Linked DNA regions of Tribolium castaneum. The protein of the gene in region 3 interacts with the protein of the main gene of each other region in a pairwise test. Links are inferred from orthologs where the notes say so. Each region holds a gene or a part of one and is shown on either strand. Other genes may lie near its edges. The genes, in order: beta-arrestin-1, N and dx.

The links.
Region 1: the proteins of dx (region 3) and beta-arrestin-1 interact in a two-hybrid assay, tested with the Drosophila melanogaster proteins (2 studies listed by BioGRID). The link is inferred for Tribolium castaneum from reciprocal best matches to the Drosophila melanogaster genes dx and krz.
Region 2: the proteins of dx (region 3) and N interact in binary tests that used the Drosophila melanogaster proteins (3 or more experiments, as listed by UniProt). The link is inferred for Tribolium castaneum from reciprocal best matches to the Drosophila melanogaster genes dx and N.

The regions. Positions count from the first base shown.
Region 1 is NC_087403.1:1,772,980-1,777,185, forward strand, and holds the start of beta-arrestin-1, read right to left. Parts: upstream 2,819-4,206; 5' UTR 2,572-2,818; intron 2,274-2,571; exon of another isoform or gene 1,989-2,273; intron 1,578-1,988; 5' UTR 1,543-1,577; coding exon 1,453-1,542; intron 1-1,452. Other genes in the region: ras-related protein Rab6, read left to right, coding at 3,456-3,525, 3,792-3,850.
Region 2 is NC_087400.1:111,067-114,718, forward strand, and holds part of N (notch), read right to left. Parts: coding exon 3,646-3,652; intron 2,081-3,645; coding exon 1,537-2,080; intron 1,129-1,536; coding exon 365-1,128; intron 1-364. UniProt on the Drosophila melanogaster protein: Essential signaling protein which has a major role in many developmental processes. Functions as a receptor for membrane-bound ligands Delta and Serrate to regulate cell-fate determination.
Region 3 is NC_087399.1:6,222,330-6,226,578, forward strand, and holds the start of dx (protein deltex), read left to right. Parts: upstream 1-1,390; 5' UTR 1,391-1,600; intron 1,601-2,032; 5' UTR 2,033-2,091; coding exon 2,092-2,290; intron 2,291-2,339; coding exon 2,340-2,491; intron 2,492-2,811; coding exon 2,812-3,181; intron 3,182-3,233; coding exon 3,234-3,470; intron 3,471-3,521; coding exon 3,522-3,861; intron 3,862-3,933; coding exon 3,934-4,249. Other genes in the region: mitochondrial intermediate peptidase, read right to left, coding at 114-380, 428-690, 746-883.

The DNA.
Region 1 (4,206 bases), on a different chromosome or scaffold from region 3:
TAGTGCGAGCGTGTTAAACACAAAAGAACATAATAATGTCGCGAAATTTAATTAAAAGCGCGAGCTTTTAGGCCCCGAGTGAGTTGTGCCTTGCATTTTCGCATTCGAAAATTTCCAGTCACGGTTGTCCGCCGCTGATTTTTTATATTCATGCTGTTGACGCAAGTATTAGTATGCAAGGAAATCGACGTTTAAAAACAACCAGATAAACAAAGGAAGAAAATGACTTGAAAACTCGCCATTTCCATAATCATGACATTGACATGAAAATTTGCCGGCGATAGACCATATGTCCAACGCGATAAAATCTAATTAGCGTATGATAAAACTAAAATGGGAAAAATCAGCGTCGATTCGTCGCCGGTGCCACTTGACCGATGATTGATTCAAACGCCAAGGAAATACAAATAAATTCGAATTTATTCAAATGGACGCACCTAGCAACTAATTAAACTTCACATCAAATGGATTTTCGAGCTTAAAACGCAATACACCAGACAATACCGACAAAAATAGCAACAAAATATCTTTCGGAGCATGTATCGTTATTCAATTCAAATGCACCCTTTCAAACTTGTTTACAGCCGTTTCGCTGCTTTCGACCGATCAACAAATCAAAAATTAAACTCGGATGTATTACCACACTTAACAAATAGATAAAACGTGACGTCTTGCAAACCACACCACAAACGATAACACAATGACGAAAACGCTGTCCTAATTATTTATTCAGCGACAATTACAGTACATTCTTTAAACACCTTAGAATCGCAATTCTGGGCCTGGGAGCTGGTTAAACATCAGGCGCAATGCTAAATCAACAATATTTATATTTATTTACACCATAAAATTTTATTTTTAAATATTTGCCCGATTGCGCCCGATTTAACGACTTCATTTAATCTTAGAAAAAATATTGTATACAACTTTCGGTTTCAACAACTAATGAAACAACATTCCGCGCAGTCACACTTATTTAGGAATTATCATCGCTATTACACTGTAATTAACAATAATTTTAATGGTGTTTAACAAGTCCAAATGACTCCCAGTATCGTCGAAACTCTTCTTAGTTCGCTCGCTATCTTGTGTATTTGATAAATATTAGGTAATTGCGATAATGTATCGATTCAATGAAACCGTCAAAAGTGATTCGTTGAAGTGGAATTCCCGGGTTTGGTCCCGGCTGACGATTATTCGATTTGATGCAGGAGTCTGATATGTGATAGAAAAGTAATTTTTCCCTCCTGCTTTATTTCCATAAAGGCCGACTTGCTGATGAACCAATATAAAGAGCAATCAAAGAGTCGATATTACATCACGTGCTGGTGTAACGAGGTGATCAGTTCACTCGAATTTCGTTTATACGGCCAATCAGGTGCAAGCTTAAACGATATTTTCTGAGCAATTAGCCTGATCTTTGATTAAAAAGCCGAAAACCACACAACTCACCTCTTTGTCAATTTCATTGTGGCCCATCCGAGCATTGTACAAATTCGAAAACCAGCTCTGGACCGACGCGAAAAAATTACTCCTACGCATTTTAACCGAAATTTAAAAAAATCATTTTGACGGACCTGAAACGACACTCTGAATCAAGTTCGGTTAGTTGCAAACAAAATGTTAATTGCCACACGGAGGGTTCGCCCGCTTTGACGAACTTTTCGATTGATTTCGATGAAAATTTAAGATCGGACTGATTAAAATTGAATTAATGGCCTTTGGGAAATAACCGGGTTGTGGGTTTTGGGCCTTTTTACTTAATGTGCTTCGGTCAGAGATAATTCTCCGCTCTTTCACTCTCATAAATATTATAAATCAATTTCGGGCTAAACATGACTTGATGAAAAGATAGCTGAAATTAATTTGGAAAGTTTAAAACAAAACGCCGGTGTTGATTAGCGAAGTTTGAGACTTCGCAGAGTATCGTTTGTTATATTTATTCGAGATGTCAAAGAGGACTGACTTTAAAGGGAAATATGATTCACCTAAGTAATTGCAGGAGACTTTTCCGAGTGAACTCAACTCCTCATCTCCTATGATTCAGAGCCGAGGTTGTTTAAAGGTGGGCACTGGAGCCGTATCTTGTACAATATTATCTTTATTTGCCTATTAAACACACACATATAATCTGGCAAGGTATAGGTATCAATAAAATTTGCCCTTACAACTCCCGAGCCAATCGAAACGTAGTCTTCAAGTTAATCTAATATCTTTATGAGGTTTAATTGACTACAAGGGGCCCCTCTGCGTCATAAAAACCGATGTGATTTCTGAAATACGTGAGATAATTTTTATCAATCCAGCTCGCAAAAACAGCCACACGAATGCCCTCCAATCCCGAATCAATTTCCTAGACCGTCCTGGCCTAATTAAAAGGGATCTGTTTACGAACGGCCCATTAATTTAATGGCACATAAATCCAAAACCAAATCTCGAAATTCCACCGCAGCCAAAATTTTGCAGGTTATTAAATCCTCTCACACAACTCGTCACAGCCACACAACAAAAATAACCCTCCCGACCTTCAAACCCAAAAACTGATCCCAAAAACCACCGATTTTCACTTACGTGTACAGTATTTTCCTGGAAGTGCCTAAAATTTAACTCTACACGTCCAATGCACACCAACAGAACTGCACTATGCGAGGAGGCGCCCCAGGGAGGGTGGACTTCGGGCACCGGGACCAACCGGTGAATAACCACAAATTTACGATTTCACAACCCCAAACAATTCGATGGTCTTCCCATTGGAACACCTTGGGCCTTGTCCAACTTCCCAACTGTGAAAACTGGGGAGTGGAGTAGGGATATAAAGCAACTGAAGCGCATGCTGATTCAGACCTGCCAACCGACCATCATGGGCACGCACACCCAGGACGCCGCCACGACGTGGGGCCCCGGCCCCGGCGCCCGAAAGGGCCGCCTCCAAGCAAAAAACCAAAATTTTGACCAAAGACTGCGGAAACAAAACCAGATTTTGAACTTGTAGCCAACTTAATACACCCGTTTAGGGGAATTTCGTGGCAATGCCACGCGCACCAATTTCAAACCCAAGCTTGCAATTTTGAATTTGAAAGTTATTAAGCTACAAATTGGCACCGAATTGTTAATTACGAGCATTTTTGGCCCGGACTGGCATTGTGAACGTTTTTGTCCCGATTTGTTTTTTCGCGCAAAGTGCGGGTGGATTAAATGGGCTTTTTTGCGGGTTAGTTTCACGAATCGGATCAGTTTTTTGGGGCCTGATTATTAGTCCAATGTAAAATATTTATGATTTTAATTTTTTTGGTCACTCCCAAATGTAACATGCGCAGTGTTGCAGTCACTTCGAGTCGCTACCGTGGCGTATTCTGTCATTGGTTTAGTCGGTACAGTTCGTTTTCCTGTGATATTTTACTGTGAAATTCGCAATTTGCAGGGTTTTTAAAAGAATCGTTAAGTTTTTAACAAAAATGTCGACGTCAGGAGACTTTGGTAATCCCTTGCGAAAATTTAAACTAGTTTTCTTAGGAGAACAAAGTGGTGAGTGTTGACGTTTCTTGATGAGTTGTAAACTTTCAAGCAGACCCGTGAAAAGATCAATAAAAGTCATGTTTCGCAACATTCCTCCTATTTGTTTTATAATTAATCGATTGGCAAACGCTGGACGAGGCTTCATTTTTCATATCGATTTTCCCGACTTGACCACTCGTCATCCTACATGACAGATCATTTCTAGGTTATGTTTTGATAAAACTGATAACTTTTTATTCAGTGATCAAGCGCCCCAATTGATTGTTCTTTTCCAGTTGGCAAAACGTCGCTAATAACAAGGTTTATGTACGACAGCTTCGATAACACCTACCAGGTGAGTCCCACGGACCATTATCACCCAAATGTAATATTAAACCGCAATTACGCTCGGGGGTAGCGCCGTAAATTCCGCAAAATCGCCAAAAATTAAGATGTAATTAGATTCGCCGCCCCAGCCACGAGCCCGGTTTTAATTAAAACGAAATTTGCTAGGGCTCTAATTACGATTTAAAAGTTTATTGATCGAGTTCCGCGAACATCCCTAAATAAGTTATACCGGCTACCGGTGGTAAGTATTTACAAATCGTAAAAAATAATCGATACGGTGGGCCGGGCGATTTCGATTGTCGTCCCACACACACCTACTTCTATTTCGCTTGTATTTGGAATTTGATAAGTTTTGCGGTTTTG
Region 2 (3,652 bases), on a different chromosome or scaffold from region 3:
TTAAAGGGAAAAGTTCAATCTTAAATCTGTTCTAATTGTTTGGCGTATTACAATTAGAAACAGAAAAAATAAGAACTTTGTCAAAAGTTGAATAACTTGAAAATGGAACACTCAATATTTTGTTCTTGCTTCTCAAACATTATTAAATTGTCTATCTAAAAAAAAGTTAATAATTAAAAGATAATTTCAGGAAATTTCATTTAAAACTTTTAAATTATTCAACAAAAAAATTAAGGTTGTTCCATTGTGTTGTAGCTAATTTTAGAAACACGCTGTAAACTTGAAAATAATTTTCGTAAAAAAAGTTTAATTTTCTAAGGACAGCCTGTATGTTTGTGGAGATGTACTGTAATTTTTTACTTACGTGAAGCACAATCATCCGTATTAATACTGCAGTCTTTTCCTTCATAACCCAGCGCACAAATGCAATGGTACGACCCATTGGTATTCTTACAAGTGGCGCCGTTTCGGCACGGTTTCGAAACCACACATTCATCGACGTCTTGATCGCAAAACCGCCCCGTATAACCCCCGCTACAAGTACACGCAAAATCCTTATAATTCGAACTTGGCGTACATTTCGCGTTATGCCGACACCGGTTCGGTGTACACGGATCCAACTTATCTTCGCACTTACGTCCAGTAAACGGCAATTCACACACACATTTATAATCATTGACTTGATCAATACACGTGCCACGATTTTTGCACGGATTAATCGCACAATCATCGATATTCGTTTCACAATTAATGCCAGTATAACCGGGTAAACATTCGCAAGTATAGGAGGCGAGATGATCGTGACAAATGCCACCGTGTTGACAGGGATTTGACGCGCATTCATCAATGTTGATTTCGCATTGTTTACCACTGTAACCTGGTAGACAATGACAGATGAATTGATTGACGCCATCCTCGCAACTGCCGCCATGTTTGCATGGATTTGAATTGCATTCGTCAACGTCACTAAGGCAACGAGCGTCATAGTAACCACGTGGGCATTCGCATCGAAAACCGTTTATCATGTCGATGCAAACGCCCCCATTGGCGCACGGGTTTGAAGCGCACTCATCTATGTCATTCTCGCAATGTTTGCCGGTGAATCCCGGAATACATTCGCAGTTATAACTGAAAAACAAACACAATTGGCATTACAGTTTCCTGTATTTACTCCATTAATTATTGTTAGTAAAACTACTTACTCCCTACTGTACGCATGTAAAAAAAAAATCAATCGGTTAGTGTATGTTATACACGGCGATTCTTTTAGGGCCTACATTAAAAACTTAAAAAAAATCACATTAGCCTTGAATTGTGACAATTGACAATTTTCTCAAACCTTAGGTTATCAAATTAAAAAAAAACATTCACTTATTGTAAAAAATTCAACGACATTTTAAATAAAATAAACTCCAGCAAATAAAAATTTTAACAAAAAATTGACATATAATTGTTTAAGTTCTAACTATATTAGAATAGAAGCATGAAAGTTTCTAATGTAGGTTTTGAAATAACCGGTTATAACCGTTGACTTACCTATTAATTCCATCGACACATCTTGCATTATTCCGACATGGGTTACTGTAACATTCATTGACGTTGATCTCGCAATTCGGTCCTGAAGTCCCGGCTTTACACAGGCATTGATAACCGTTGACTAAATCCTGACACAAGCCGCCATATTGGCACGGATTCGATTCGCATTCGTTGATTTGATATTGACACAGGTAACCGGTGTAACCGGGATGACACGTGCAACTGAAGGAATTTTCACCATCGAGACATTCGCCATGTTGGCATGGCGACGATTGACAATCATTGATGTTTGTTTCGCATGACAAACCGGTGAAACCTGGCGGACATTCGCACGTGTAACCGGCAATTGAATCATGACAAGTGCCACCATTTCGACAAGGCGATGAAACACAATCGTCGATATTGATTTGACAACGGGAACCGGTGAAACCGATTGCACAACTACATTTAAACGAATTGATGAGGTCATGACAGACACCGCCGTTAAGGCAGGGCTGATCTTTGCATTCGTCGATGTCAATTTCGCACTGGGTGCCGGTGAAACCTGCAAATTTTTTTAAGTTATTTTTCCCCATTTATGAAATTGATTTAACTTTGTCTTGTTTTATTTTGCGAAGAATAAAATTCTAGCTAATCAAATCGCTTTCAGATCCAAATTCAATTAAACCTCTAAAATCTAGTTTGTTTAAAAACAAAATTGTTCACGTTTCTTCCAAAGCAGACTACGCAAAAATGCTTATTTGCCATTTTGATCAGCATGTAAGATTCAATCATATCATATGATACACCGTTGGAATCAGGAATAAAAACACTTTTAAAAAATACAAACAGTGAATATGGCCAAAGTTGAGTATTGTAACTCGGACATCAAGTACGCCTTGGAAAATATGTCCTAGTTATTTTAATTTTCGATTGAAAAAATTAAAACAAAAATTACAAATTTTTTTGCAATAATTCAAAAACTAAAAATGACCCTGGAGACGAGTCGCTCATGTTGCAAAGTGGCGGGAATATTCGAAAATAAAATTCGCTTCGCCTCGCTCAACCATCTTATGAATTAAGTATAAACCTTTATGTATCGGTAACGGTTGTTGTGCAAGCCTTCTCTTGTAAACACGCCCAACCGCTTATGCTTTCACGATATCCATCCAACACAGCCTTCTTCGACTATTCGTATTTTTCTCCTCCCACGTTTCAAATCTCCGTCAACAATAAACGTTTTATAAAAGAATGAAGAAAAAAAATAGCCACGAATAATTACAATCAAATCTCATCACGCGACCTGTAATTGAATAAAACGCCGCTTAGATGATGAAGAGAATCCGCGTTCAATGACACACGAATTGTTGTTTCGTTTCGAAATTTATTTCATCGCGAGAGAGAAGCGCATCGAATTCATTTGCATAGTGGTTTTCAGTTTGCTCGAGATTCATTTTTATTTATTTATTTTATTTATTAACGATGATGATAATTGGCCTCATTCTCATATAATAACGGTGCGATCTTTTTCATCGCTTGAATAATGCATGCGTTTGAACGTAATTAAATTTTTTCGAAAAAACTATGTAAACGTTTCAAATGGGTCGTGTCATTTCATCGACCGGTTCTTCTAGCTTTAATTATCACCAAAGTGAGACATTTTTCTCAAAGAAACAACATTTTTTCAGGCATGACTTACGAGTTCGTATCCTATGCAAAACAAGAAAACTGTGCTTATTTCCGGTTAAACCTGATTTGTTATTACAAATTAATTAACCCTTTTTTCCCCGACCCGGACGAGTCGGCCCTGCCATCGTTGCCATAGAAATCTATACGTAACCATGGTTATAAACGATATTTCAGTGACAATTGACATTTGCACCAGTGGCGTAACATTAAAAATTTAAAACAAGAGCCAAGCTTGATCAATCCCGCCCATATCTCGTACCACCGTAGGCAAAAAGTCGTGTCGATACTGTTTGTAGCTCGCAAAAGCAGGTCGAAACACATCGTTCACATGCCTCCAAAGTTCATCTAATTATTACCGCGAGAAACGAAATCAAAATTGTCTCGATTCCAGTTCATGTCACCGTTAAAAACTACCAACAAAAAGTTTTACGTGTAACTCACCTGGCAT
Region 3 (4,249 bases):
GAGATTTCGCTAAAACAAACCGAAAAATCACCAAGCCAAGTCACTAATCCACACAATTTTGTTAAAAACTAGCCGAAAATCACGAAATTGGGCGGAAAACAGAGTATACTCACACATCGCGGACGCTGTCCGGAAGGGCACTCTGCTTGATAACCTTAGGATTTGATATTCCATTGAGGAACTGTTGCCCCGCACATAAAATTTTGTTATTAAGTTCAACAACTTGGTTTCGCTTGTGCTCATTTAGGTGAATCCCACACTGTTCAAAATCAAACAAAAACAACTTCCCGACCAGGTTATCAACCTCGGTTGTTGGCACTATATCTGTTGTATTCACAGCAGTCTTTAGAGCCTCATACATTTGAATATTAGTGTTTAATCTAAAAATAAATTTTAAATAACCAATTTTTGCCCATTTTGGGCCCACCTTTCGACTAGTTTACTTATGGCAACTGACGTGTGCTCCGCTGCCGCGATGTACTCAGAAGACGGGTGTGCAAATCGAATAAACTCAGCCAAATCAGCCACTTGGCACAAAGAGTCAGACAATTCGTCAAAAATCTCAACCATTTTGCGCTTTCGGTCGCTCGAAAGGGCCTCACGCACCAAATCGTCGGTTTTTTCAACGCATTTTTGCGTAACGTAGTAAAAACCCTCATGGGTGGTGAGTTGGGGCACCCCAAAGAGGCCCTAAAACCCCCTCAATGTATATCCCCTCACAAAACAATACCGCCGAGTTACTTACAACATTTTTTGTCACTATGTCGAGGTTTAAGCCCGGTTTGGTGTTAAATATTTTTTCTAGAGCTGACCATCGACTAACATTGCAGTTTGAGGTTGTGAGAGTTTTGAGGAGCTTGAATGATAAATTCGTGGCAAACATTTTCAAAGTTGCGTTTGTAACGTGACGTCTGATGTGGTTTTAGCAAGATTTAACGTTCCGTAAAATAGAAAATGATGTTTTTGTGTGAGACATTGTACATAACCTAAAAAATCACATCACAATAAAATTACATAAAATGACACGGCACCTAATTTTAATTAAAATGTAAAAAACTTACGGTTAATTAAAATGGGATTTGGGTGAAAATTATGCAAAAATGGGTTTTTTAAAGTTACAAGAACTTTGGCTTTTTTTGACAGATGATTGTGATTTTGTGTCTACAAGACGTAGCATTATATGCCCCATGTACTTACAAAAAACGGACATTTTCCCTTGTCTGTAACCAAACTAAAATTAACGAAAAAAAGAATAAAATTTCATAACTATGATCAGTTTCATTCCAGTAACAAATGAATTAGATTAGGATTAAATAATCATCTGTCGCAACGTCTCGTATCCTGAATGCCTCATCCCACAAATCCCACAAATCTGATGACGTAACAAATGGTAATGGTTGATGGTTTGTTAACAAGTTGTCACAAGTGCTCATTTTTTGTTTACAAAATAAAATCCCGTCCAATTCGCTTTTTCGTGAATTGAGTTTATGTTGTTATCAGCGTTATCTAATCACAGAAAACAAATGAGTGTAGTTTTGGCGCAGTTTCCTGTGTTTAAAAAACAATTGAAGTTGGGGTCATGATGTTAATTAAATGATTGGTGAGTCTCGGTAGTTTTTAAGCCAAAATTTGGTAAAAATGAATGAAATGCTACTCCATCCAGACGGAAAATTATTTCTCTGACTTTTAATTAATAACTGGAGGAGATTTCGGCATTAAATCATTTTCCACTAGTTGGCTGTGATTACGGACGAGAATGACAGCTTGTTAGTGGGATAAATTATAATTTAATTGTTTTATTGTGTGCGTTTTAATTTAAATTGAGGAAATTAAGAGAGTCATTGTTATTAAAAAGTGTAATTAACAACTCGCATGCGGATTAATAATGCAAATGTACACAACGGTGCATAATTAATGCGAGGCAAAGTGGCACGGATGTGAATTGTTGGTTGCATACGTTACAAATTAAATTTGCTTTTTCAATTCAAAACGCGGTTTTGTGCTTATTAAATCATTCATAATTCACTCAAAGCCAGTTTTAACAGACTTGGAAGCGTCCAAAACAGATGATTTTGCCGATTTTCGGCCAAAATGTCGGGCCACGCTGTGGTCGTATGGGAATATGAGACTAGACCCGGCTATTGGAAGCCCTACAGCCCTGCGGTGACCCAGCATTTAGAGCGAGCAAATGCCAAACAACTGACTCGCGTGCTTTTATCTGACGCCGACCCGACCTTGTTCAACTTTTATGTCAATTTGCGCACTTTGACACAAGTACAAGAGGAGACAGGTATAAAAAAATATAAAAAAAATAGTCAAAAAAAAAATAAAATTGTTAGATGAGGTTGTCAAAGTGCGTCGCAAGTGTTACCCGCCTTCGTCTCCGGCCGGAAAAGGGGCCAAGTGGGAATGTGTCGATCCGGAAAATGGCACCGATTGGCACCCCTTTGATATGGACATTCAGTGCCTTATCGAGGAGGCTTGGGCTAATGTATGGTGTCTTTTATTTTATTTTTTTGTTGGTAACATTTTAAGCCTTCTTCTTAATATCTGAATCCTTGATTATAAACACTTTTTTAAAACACGTTTCCGATAGCAATGTGTTTTCACTATTTTAAAGCACACTTTTCATAGCAACGTGTTTTAAATTAAAATGTTTCAACAAAAAAAAATTGAATAACACTCATACGAAAACGCTTAAAGTTTTCGGGTGTCTTGGTATGCAACTCGCATACGCTCGTTGCATAACGCCAGCCCTAGAACTTTAAGCCTTGCACTTGTATTACAGTTTTTTTCCTTTGGTGGTTATAGGGGGACCAAAACATCGACATGAGTAAAACTCACTTAGGTTTTCCGTATTTGATTAATTTTAGTAACTTGACACAAAGATGGCTGACCAACGGCCATGTTCGAAGTGTCAGACGTGTCAAACAAGCGCCATATCCGTTAGTTAAGGTTAAGTTAGAAGAAATGACGTCTGTGACCGGTCGACGCGAAATTGCAAAAAGTGCCAAAAATGTCACACAACCAGTACAAAAAACAATTGGTAGTAGTGCCGCCTTAAACGTCGTCGAAACGAAACGAAGTGCCAATAAAAAACGATCACACAAGCCAAAGAACGGGAATGAGACCAGTACTACCAACCTAGCTAGAGCAATATTAAATAATTTAAATATATTTAGTAAGTTATTACAGGTTCCTGTAATTTTCTCTTACTAAACGACTCACTTTAGGCAATAAATCGAGTAGTAATAATTTCACCTCGAATTCTGAAAACCGTACTCATAAAGAATCACTTTTGGACGCGGACAGCAGTAGTACAAAATCAGGCCGAAGGCCGAGTCTTGACACTGTTTCGACCTATTTAAGTCAAGAGAGCCGTGAAAGCCAAACTACAGTTTCCACCACTGATTTGCTGCAATGTAGCAGCGAGGACGACAATATCGATCACGACCTACTCTCGATAGTTGGTAACACTGTCACACTTTCCCCTAGCATCGTGTCACATTTAAAAATCCTAGGTTTGGACCCGGCTAGTGCAATAATCTCGAAATACGTGCGGGTGTCCCAACCGTGCGAGTGGGCCCCCAGACAGCCCTGCCCCACGTGCCGGCAGCCCCTGCGCCCCACGTTAGTCGTGGTGGCGTTGCCCTGCAACCACGTGTTGCACCTCGACTGTCTTAACTACTCCCTGACCGAACAACAGGAAAATGGGGCACATTTGCATATTGATTGTGCGATTTGTGGCTGCGTCTACGGGGAGAAGCACGGGAATCAGCCCCCCGGCATCATGGAGTGGGGCTTCGTCGATAAGCGACTCCCCGGCTTCCAGAACTACCGCACGATTCAAATCGTTTATAAGTGAGTATGCGCCACCTGGTGGTCGATTTGGGGAACTAATAAAAACGCGGGGCAATTTGATTTTTTGTTCAGTATTCAGTCGGGGATTCAAGGGCCGGACCACCCCCACCCAGGGAAGGAGTACTACGCTGTGGGGTTCCCCCGCGTGGCCTATCTGCCCGATTGTCCCAAAGGACAGAAAGTTTTACGGTTATTGAATATCGCATGGCAGCGGAAGTTGATTTTTACGATCAGTAGGTCCAACACAACAGGTTGCGAGGATGTGGTCGCGTGGAATATACCGCATAAAACCGAAATTGGGCCGAGTAATAGTGCGCATAGTTACCCCGATTCGGGGTACTTGACGAGGGTTTTGAGGGAGTTGGAGGCGTTGGGTGTTGTGGAGGAG